Linked DNA regions of Xenopus tropicalis. The protein of the gene in region 2 interacts with the protein of the main gene of each other region in a pairwise test. Links are inferred from orthologs where the notes say so. Each region holds a gene or a part of one and is shown on either strand. Other genes may lie near its edges.

Region 1 (4,603 bases), on a different chromosome or scaffold from region 2:
TGACACTAAATTGGACAAGGATTTATAGTCTGCGGCCCTTAATCCATAGATCCCCAAATGTCAGAGCTCACAGAACAGGTTTTAGGATCTACTTATATGATCAAAGCTTGATAAGATTGTCCTTGTCATTGATACCCATGTGCCAATCTTAGGATTTTCAGGTCATGTAGGCAATGTTGTGGGGCCTTGACATCTACCTTTACTTAAATCCCACCACTTTAATATGACCCTCTTGTAGCAATGACTCTCAATCCCAGCAGGGACCTTAAAGCTTTGGCTAAACCACAGCTCCCACAGTCCCCTATGTGCGAACACTCTAAGGGAATGCTGGGAGTTATTACTCAACAATAGCAATATAGAAACAATAGATTTGCGATCTTCCACTAAAAGCAACAAGTGTTTTCAAGTCAATGTCTTATTGCAGCCAATCGTAGGTGGCTTTATTGTCCTTTAGTGCAAGGTATAAGTATTAAATAGCTATTCATCCCGCTACAAGTCCTGTCTAGCTAGATTTCAAGGTATCAAAATTAGTTTTAAAATAGAAAAATATATTATAATTTAGAAAGTCCCAGTAGCCTAAGGATGAGGTCACCAGTGAGGCGTGGGCCACCCTGCCAGGTAATACAGGTAGGGGTAGCAGTGATAGTTCTGGTAAAAGCTGAGGAGTGAAGCTCGGCTGATGTCTGTGTCTCTGCTCCGTACAGGGTGAGCTGAGGACTTCTCTACCTCCTCCATATCAGTGGCCAGCTGCTTCCTCTTGGTCTTGTACCTCCGGTTCTGGAACCAGATCTTTACTTGGGTCTCGGTCAGTTTCAGGCTCTTGGCAAGCTGGGCTCTCTCTGGAGCAGACAGGTACTTCTGGCTGGAGAACTTTCTTTCCAGCTCTATGACCTGAGAGTGGGAGAAGGCAGCTCTGGATCGTTTCTGTTGCAGCTTTAGTTTCTTTTCCACCGGGGATATTGGCTGAGCTTGGTCTAGCTCCACATTTTCATCTGATGAAAGATGAGGAAGGGGAAGAGTCAATAAAAGAAATATATCTAAGAATGATTTGCTATTCTATTGCAAAATATTAGGCTATTAGAAGTATGTATGTATGTATAACTTTATTTATAACGCGCCACTAGGGTATGCAGCGCTGTACAATCTTAAAATATACAGAATTACACACAGGAAGGAAAAGTGTTATAATAAATACAATAAATAAGTATAAATACACAGGGAGTAAGTGCCATGTGGTATGAGACACAGTAGGAAGGAGGTCCCTGCCCCGTAAAGCTTACAATCTAAGTCACCGTAAAGAAGTTCTGTGACCTGAGACCAAAACCTGTAGGCCAGTGCTTCTATACAGGTCACAGAACTCTGAGGGGAATTCTAAATAGGGGTATATAAGTATTTTGTAATAATACACAAGCTTTAATAGTTCATGTTACACAAGTGGAATCACTGAAAGTGCCATTTCTGATGACATCATTAAGCACTATATTGTACAAGACAGCCTTTTGTGTATTATAAGCATAGGCCAGTCTTATTACAAAGATAGGATACAGATATCAGAGACAAGCTGGTCCATAGTCAGGGGCATAGAAACAGAGCATATCCAATAACTACAGGGGGACAGAAGGGCACAGTAGGGGTCCTGACTGTTTTGCATTATTAATATATATATATATATATATATATATATATATATATATATATTTATTTGTAAAAATATGTTTAGCTCCAATTGCTACCTACATATCACTGGGACACATCCCATAAGCATTGCATGGGCTTTGCATAATTCATTTGCCCTAGAAAGATTATTTTGACCTTGTCAATAAGGCTTAATACATTGCTTTAAAATAGGTTCCTTTGATTAATGAGCTACACAATATAAAATGAAGAAGGGGCACGTGTTAACGGCTGTAGTTCAACAACAACAGGAAGTTAGATTTATGTACAATGCTCCAGAAAGCTCTATTCTAATATGAAGTAATAATAAAACCTAATGCAGAGGGTAACCACACATCTTACATTTTAATAAGTATTTCTACATCCTGGACTCCCAACAAGCAGTGTTCTGACCCCTGACTAGGCTTCTAGCGGTGCCACTTGGCAAACATTTGTTTCCACTCTGGGACCCAGCAGGAGGAAAGGAAGTCTTGGCAGGGGATAACTTTATAGCAATGACCTCAATCAGCCCATTTGCAGCTTCAGTTATTCTGTAAAAACCGGGACACAGTGCTAGTAATGTTACCCATTTGTTTGTATGGGTCATAATTAGAACATATGCCACCAAGCTTTCCAAGATAGGGTAACAAGTCAAACTGAGGCTGCAAGGGGAGCTAACCAGCTTAAGCACTATAATACATTGGGGCTAAAAGTAACCTCAACAACTAACTATGTACTCAGCTACAGTATCATCTCATATCTCATATACCCATCACTTGTTACCAGCACAAACCTCCCTACAGGTTCAGGACTACTCATCCCAGCTCATCTATGTGGAATGGCTAAAGGTAAGTTATCCTTCATGTCAATAATCCTGACATATAAACTTTTGCACTGACCTTCCATCTGGCTGTGGTGCATCTCTGCAGGTTGGGACGATGACTGTTGTTTTTCTGGGGTACAGTTCTCCTTCTTGCCCCCCAAGGAAGAATCCTGGTCCTGGTCTGTCTTTGGGGAGTCCAGGCTTTTTTCCTTTCTCCCAGGTCCTATATGTGACAGAATGTCTTGGATGAGGAAGGATTTCAGTGGCTTGGCAGGAAGGGACAGGTCTTCTGTTCCTTGTTGAGACATCCTCGCTAAGTGCTCTGGGCTGGGGTATAAGGTGCCTACCCTGATTGTGCAAGGTTGTCCTGGGTAAAACAGGCTAGGGGAAATAACCTTCTAAATTATGTTTTAGACTTCTGGAATAACAGGTAATAAACAGAAGTATAGAAAATAATAAATGGCTTTTTAGGTGGAGTGTGGGTAAGTTCTATGCTGCTGGCTACCCTAACTTTGCCCACCAATGCGCCTTGCCCTCTGCTCTCTCATCTCTCTACTGGCCTCTCCATCTCCAGTACATATAGCTCCCCAGTATTAAGCCAGCCTTCTTCTGATTGGCCAGGCTGACACCCCTGCCTTCCCACAGACTGCCCCACACAGGTACAGCAGCTTATGTTACACCCAGGGGAGGAATCACCAAATCCTTATCTCCCCTCCCCTGCTGGAACAGCTACTGTGCAAGACACTGCTTGGAAACTTGCTTTGTGCTCTCTCATAAGTCTACCAGTCCCATATATTTATCCAAGTGTATGTATGTGTGTATATATATATATATATATATATATATATATATATATATATATATATATATAGTTTTGTTAACACATATAAAATATACAGCTTGGATGCCATTCACATGCACTATATATATTGGTACCAGAAAGGCAACTGCAGCCACTCGGTGATTATCAGACTAAGCGGGTTTAACTAACACAGTAATTGTCATCATTAGCAGCATAATGGGCTTAATGAGTCCTCAGGCACTGGCACATTAGTGGTTCTCACTCATTCTTGCACATCCATGTACTGTTTGTTTACAGGGTAAACACTTCCTGTTCCATGTAAATCTGCTATGGATTTAATTTGGATGAATGAAGCCAAGCCCAGTGTACTCTCATTGTATATACATACATTCTAGTAAATAGAAGAACCAATGAGGAATCCAGCCAGTCTCCAGTTAATTAGAGGGTTGGCAGGTATCACTCTAGCTACAGCTAGACTACATTTCCCAGAAACCCCTGTCATATACAAAGGTCCCCCCGTGCTCATCCCAAATAATCATTTGTCACATCAACTCTATATTCTGGTATATCATAGTATGGACCATTGGTCCCTGCATACCCTAGTGCAGTTGCAACCCTTGCACCAGAGGTGAAACTATAGAGGGAGCTGTCCCTGTGAATTCTGGGGGGCCCAAGCCAGTGTGTCAATTTAGATTAATAAGAAAGGTCTTATTCACAAAAGGTAGAGGGGCTTAGAATGATTTTGCTGTGAGGTTTAGTAACTTCTCTGTATGTCACTGCCCTGCAATTCATACCAGGTCTGGACTGGGATTCAAAATAGGCCCTGGCGCTTCAAGTATACAGAGGCCCAAACAGCCCCCCAGCTCAATAATGACGCCCCCCCCCCCTGCCCCCACACCGTTGTGTCCTAGGCACATGCTTGAGATTTCCTTCTGCTTTAGCCAGTTGAACTGTTCTAGACTACAACTCCCAGCAATTTCTGTTAGCCAATGATTAGTGAGCATGCTCTGAGAGTTGTAGTTCACTATGTGGAGAAGCAGACATTGTGAGGGTTGGAGACTGACTATAAAACAGCTTGAGTATATGTTTAAATATGTTTTATTACCGAAGTATAGTGGGGTCCTAAAATGATTCCACTAGGGGCCCAGTAACTTGTAGATACCACCCAGAACCCACCCAGTTGCTATTTCTCATGGTGGGAGGGAAAAATTGTCTGCTCGGGTGCAAATGGTTTAGTGCCTATAACATGTATTCATTCCCCAGAATGCTTTTCTGGTTACAGCTATCATTAGTTATTGGCGACAATGGCTAATTATAGTGCAGTT
Region 2 (4,438 bases):
GCTCCCCCCCTCACCTGCATAAAGCATGTCACAGAATGGCAGGAAGTACCCTTGTGCACCCTCCTCGGATGCTTTGTCCAAACTAGTGAGGGTTGAATCCTGTAGGGCCAGTCTAGAGTGAGTAACAGGAGGAAGGCTTGCACTATTACTGCCCATTTCAGAGGTGGCAATATCTGTGGGATGGATAGAAAAATATTTAACCTTTGCTTATAATATAGCTCAAATTCTAAACAACCCTCTTTCTCTTTCACATTACCTTATGTTTGGTCCTAAATGTCTTAGTGTAAAGGAGAACTAAAGCTTAAACACACGCTGTATTTTAAATACTAAACTTTCTATACAAGTTCATTGGTTAGGGAATCCAATAACAGAAATGATGCATACCATCAAAGTTCTCCACATTTTAGATTGTTAGGACATTCTTTTAAGTGCCAATGGCACTGCACACACTTTAGGGACCATTTATATGCAACAGTCAGAGGCCCAAGGTACAGCCCTGAGACTGGTGGTAAAGAGAGGGCTGCACCATTTTTGATCTGGCACTCCATGCAGAGATCAACACATCCCTGGAAGTAAGTGCTTCACAGATGAGCACAAAGGGGCACACTCTTGCCCCCTTGTGTTTGCGCACAGGGGTTTGCTAAAGTGTGCTCTGAGCAGCTGTTAAGAAGCAAACTATGGAAAAATACCTTATTCAGAAAACCCCTTGTCCCAAGCATACTGGTTAACAGGTCCCATGCCTGTATCAGTATTACGCTAGTTCACTAGTGCACTAGTTCATTTGCTGTCTTTTAATTCTGAATTATTAGTATTACTTTCAAAATTTTCTTCCATTATCTATGAAGCTACTCTGTACATATACTGTATATAAGTGTTTCCCAACCAGTGACTTGTGGGCAACATGTTGCTCACCAACCCCAAAACAGTTAATTATTTTTGAATTCCTGACTTGGTGGCAAGTTTTGGTTAAATAAAAACTACTACCAAATAAAGCCTCCTGTAAGCTGATAGTGTGCATAGAGGCTACCTAATAGCCAATCTTAGCCCTTATTTGGCACCTCCATGAACTTTTATGATGCTTGTGCTCTCCAAGTGTTTTTACATTTGACTGTGGCTCACAAGTAAGAAAGGATGGGGACCCCTGCTGTATATTATGACTACGTCCCTAAGCTCCCTAAGCTGACTGACAGCAGCCCAGGGCATATTCTGTGATTCAGCAAAAAAAGAAGATGGAAAGAGGCATATTCAGAGGCACAGATCTTCATTGATAAGGGTTGTGCTGGGCTTTTGGCTGGTATGAAATACCAAAACATAAGGTGTAGCATTTTGTAGCCTAAATCTTTGTTCAGCTTTAGTTTTCCTTTAACCACGTATAACATTCATCCTACATTTTACAGTGTCTGTACTTCACTTAGCTTCAGTGGCTCAGTTCTTAAACACTGCACAAAATGGATTCACTTTTATTTACGTTTTTAATCATCTTTACAACCTAGGCAATGTTGCAAAAACCGAGAGAATAAAACACTACATGGTGAGTGCTTTTTGTGTTTTAAATCCTATATATGTTGCTAAGTGGTGATTAAAATTTTTAAATCCCATATATTCCAGTGGCTGAGCAGAGATAAAGGAACATCTAAGCCTGTTAAAGGGACCACTCTCTCAAAGAGATGAAACTGTGGAGAATGGGGAAGCCAAGACAAATGATTCCCTTGACTGTTCTAAGGTCAGATGGTTTATCCCCACAGAGTGTTAGCTGGACTACTTTATATCCAATGTGTATGAAAATGTCAATACTTTAAAGAACTCTCTTGTAACTTTGTGATAGATATAACCCCTTGCAATCAGAATGCATGATATTTTAAGGCAAGTAATTGTAACATGACAAATAGGTGCAGATTAAATATAAAATATATAAAGTTAATCTATAAAAGCTTTAATATTTATGGTACCAAGAGTATATGAACATAGCTTATGAAAGGGGAACATAGCAATGAAAGGGGAAGAACTGACAGAGAAAAATAAAAGTTATTTATGACAAACAAGAAAATCAAATTAACAAATACAATGATGTATGAACAGACTAGCTATACCTTTGCATTCTTATGGACAGGATTTGTTTTGTAAAAACACAATAAAAATACAAAAAGAATTCCTTGGAACACATTCAAATGCGAATGAGCCCAGAGCAGAGTGTTCTTTCCACAAGGACATGGTGACACAGAGAATCACAAGCAGGGACACACATTGACAGAGTCACCTGCCTAAGTTGCTGCTTCATCTATAGACCCCTTTTTGTTTTATTGTCCCTCTAATGTTAATGCTGAGGCTGTTTTATAGCATCCTTTCTTTTAAGCTTTTATAGTTAGAAATAAGTATTTGAACTCCATGCAATTGATTATAAAGAAATGCCACCACTGCTATGTTCTATAAACTATTTTGCAACTTTAGGTTAGCCTTACAGACTTTAAAGCTACAGCACCATACTGACTTTTATTATGGCAGCCCAAGTTTCCATAGTTTACAAGGCTCATCAAAGTTTGAGGTTTTTAAAAAGGTTTTTCTTTTGTGTTTTGTACATAGATATAAAGATGAATTTGTAATAAGGTAATTTCACACACCATCATATATAAAACTGTAATTTTGATACTCATACAATTAAAAGTAGTACAATTAAAAGTGCATGTTGTTGCTATTTTGACTGTGTCAGTCTAATACATAACTCTGTTTCTTGAAGAAGGTTTACCACACACAGAAACCTAAAACAATTTACCTCAGATTATGGGATCTAAGTTAATGGGACCAACCCTGCAGAAATAAACTGATAAGGACCTTCACAAAAATCCCAAAATACATCTCCACCTTTTATCCTCTAATACCCAGAAAATTACCCATATTTGACATAAACATGCAATATAAAACCTCTTAAATGCAAAACATAATTTGCTATAGGACATGAACATTATTTCACAGCACAAAACCTATAAGTCCAGCAACTTTGTTAGTATAGCACAAAACAAATAACATGACTTAAATCTTACAGAATGTTTAAACATTACCTGTCTGTTATGAGAAGTTTCACTTGTAGGATGTTACTTGGACATATGTGGCAGCTCTATGACACCACTGTTACTGCCACTGTCACCTCTCTCTACTTTCTACCTCTCTCTACTTTCTACCTCCCTCTCTTTCCTTTGCTCTCCCTCCTCTTTTCCTCTAACTCCACTCTCCTCCCTCTGTCTCTCGCTGACGATGCTTTAAATCCTGGAAGAGACACGTGTCCAGTAAGTGATGTCTTCGTCTTTCTTCCTCCTTCTAACTTCACTCTATGTTTAATTTCTTTCTATCATACACATGTTTTACCTTTCCTTTAGGTTTACTTTTCCTTTACTTTTTATCTATCTAACTTGGCATTTTTTACAAATTCCCCCTTTACCTATTTTCTTTACTCTTTTGTTCTCTTTTTCTATCACTACTATTTTATTCACCTATGTTCTGCCCTTTTCTTTCTTCTTTTCTTTTTTTAAAATCAGACTCCCATCTTCACACTGTCCACCACTATTATTTCTGTCAGATGTCTCTATACACTCTCACCTGGCTGCCTCTGTTCCTTTCGCTCTCTCGTCGAACCATCATAGTTTATATAGTAATGTCCCGTACCTGTGTAAACACAACCTGTGTGTGCTCAAATCTAACAGGTGCAGGACCTGCCCGCTTAACCCTTAAGTAACACATAAGCAACTAAACATTCCCATACACTTTATTACTTGCAAATTTCATGATTGTTTTTGGTGGGTGGGCAAAGACTATGCATTCCCATTCAAATAGAAATAACAAAAATGTATAGCACAGAAAAACTCGCAATGTTAATGAAGCCTAATGAAAAGAATTTACAGTGACACCTAATAGCTTGAGGGTGCTTAATGATTATCTCATAATCACTATAAATACACATTTGCGCACTAAGCACACACCCTTTCTTTCCTGTAAATTTACTAGCCAAATGAAATAAAGTAACAAAATTCTTGACTCAAAATTATCTGAAATAGAACAGAACACTCAACAACTTCATTAGCCTATTTGCTATTGCACATAGGCATTTTTTACTACAATACTATAGAAGTTAAGAATGACTTGTGCCAGAAATATTGCAGGATAAAATGCCAGTTTAATAAACTGAGATCACCTTTGTGATATCAAAATTTTTGGTGCTCATATATGCTTTGACCTCACTTTGACACTACTGTACACAACGCTTATATAGTCTAGTGCCAAAATTCAAAACAATTTCTATTTCTACACAGGGAATTAAGGTAAATAATGTCACAAAATTTTATAGTGGGTAAGATAAAGTTTAGTTGCTCATAACTTCACAAAACACATACACTAGGATCAATTTCATCAGGAGCTAGTTAACCAATCAGTACTTTTTTAGAGTCAG

Evidence for each region.
Region 1: the proteins of spdef (region 2) and nkx3-1 interact in a two-hybrid assay, tested with the Homo sapiens proteins (2 studies listed by BioGRID). The link is inferred for Xenopus tropicalis from reciprocal best matches to the Homo sapiens genes SPDEF and NKX3-1.

What each region holds. Positions count from the first base shown.
Region 1 is NC_030679.2:127,288,775-127,293,377, forward strand, and holds the start of nkx3-1 (homeobox protein Nkx-3.1), read right to left. Parts: upstream 3,037-4,603; 5' UTR 2,785-3,036; coding exon 2,553-2,784; intron 993-2,552; coding exon 589-992; 3' UTR 1-588.
Region 2 is NC_030678.2:69,241,420-69,245,857, reverse strand, and holds the start of spdef (SAM pointed domain-containing Ets transcription factor), read right to left. Parts: upstream 3,097-4,438; 5' UTR 3,057-3,096; intron 174-3,056; 5' UTR 157-173; coding exon 1-156. UniProt on the Homo sapiens protein: May function as an androgen-independent transactivator of the prostate-specific antigen (PSA) promoter. Binds to 5'-GGAT-3' DNA sequences. May play a role in the regulation of the prostate gland and/or prostate cancer development.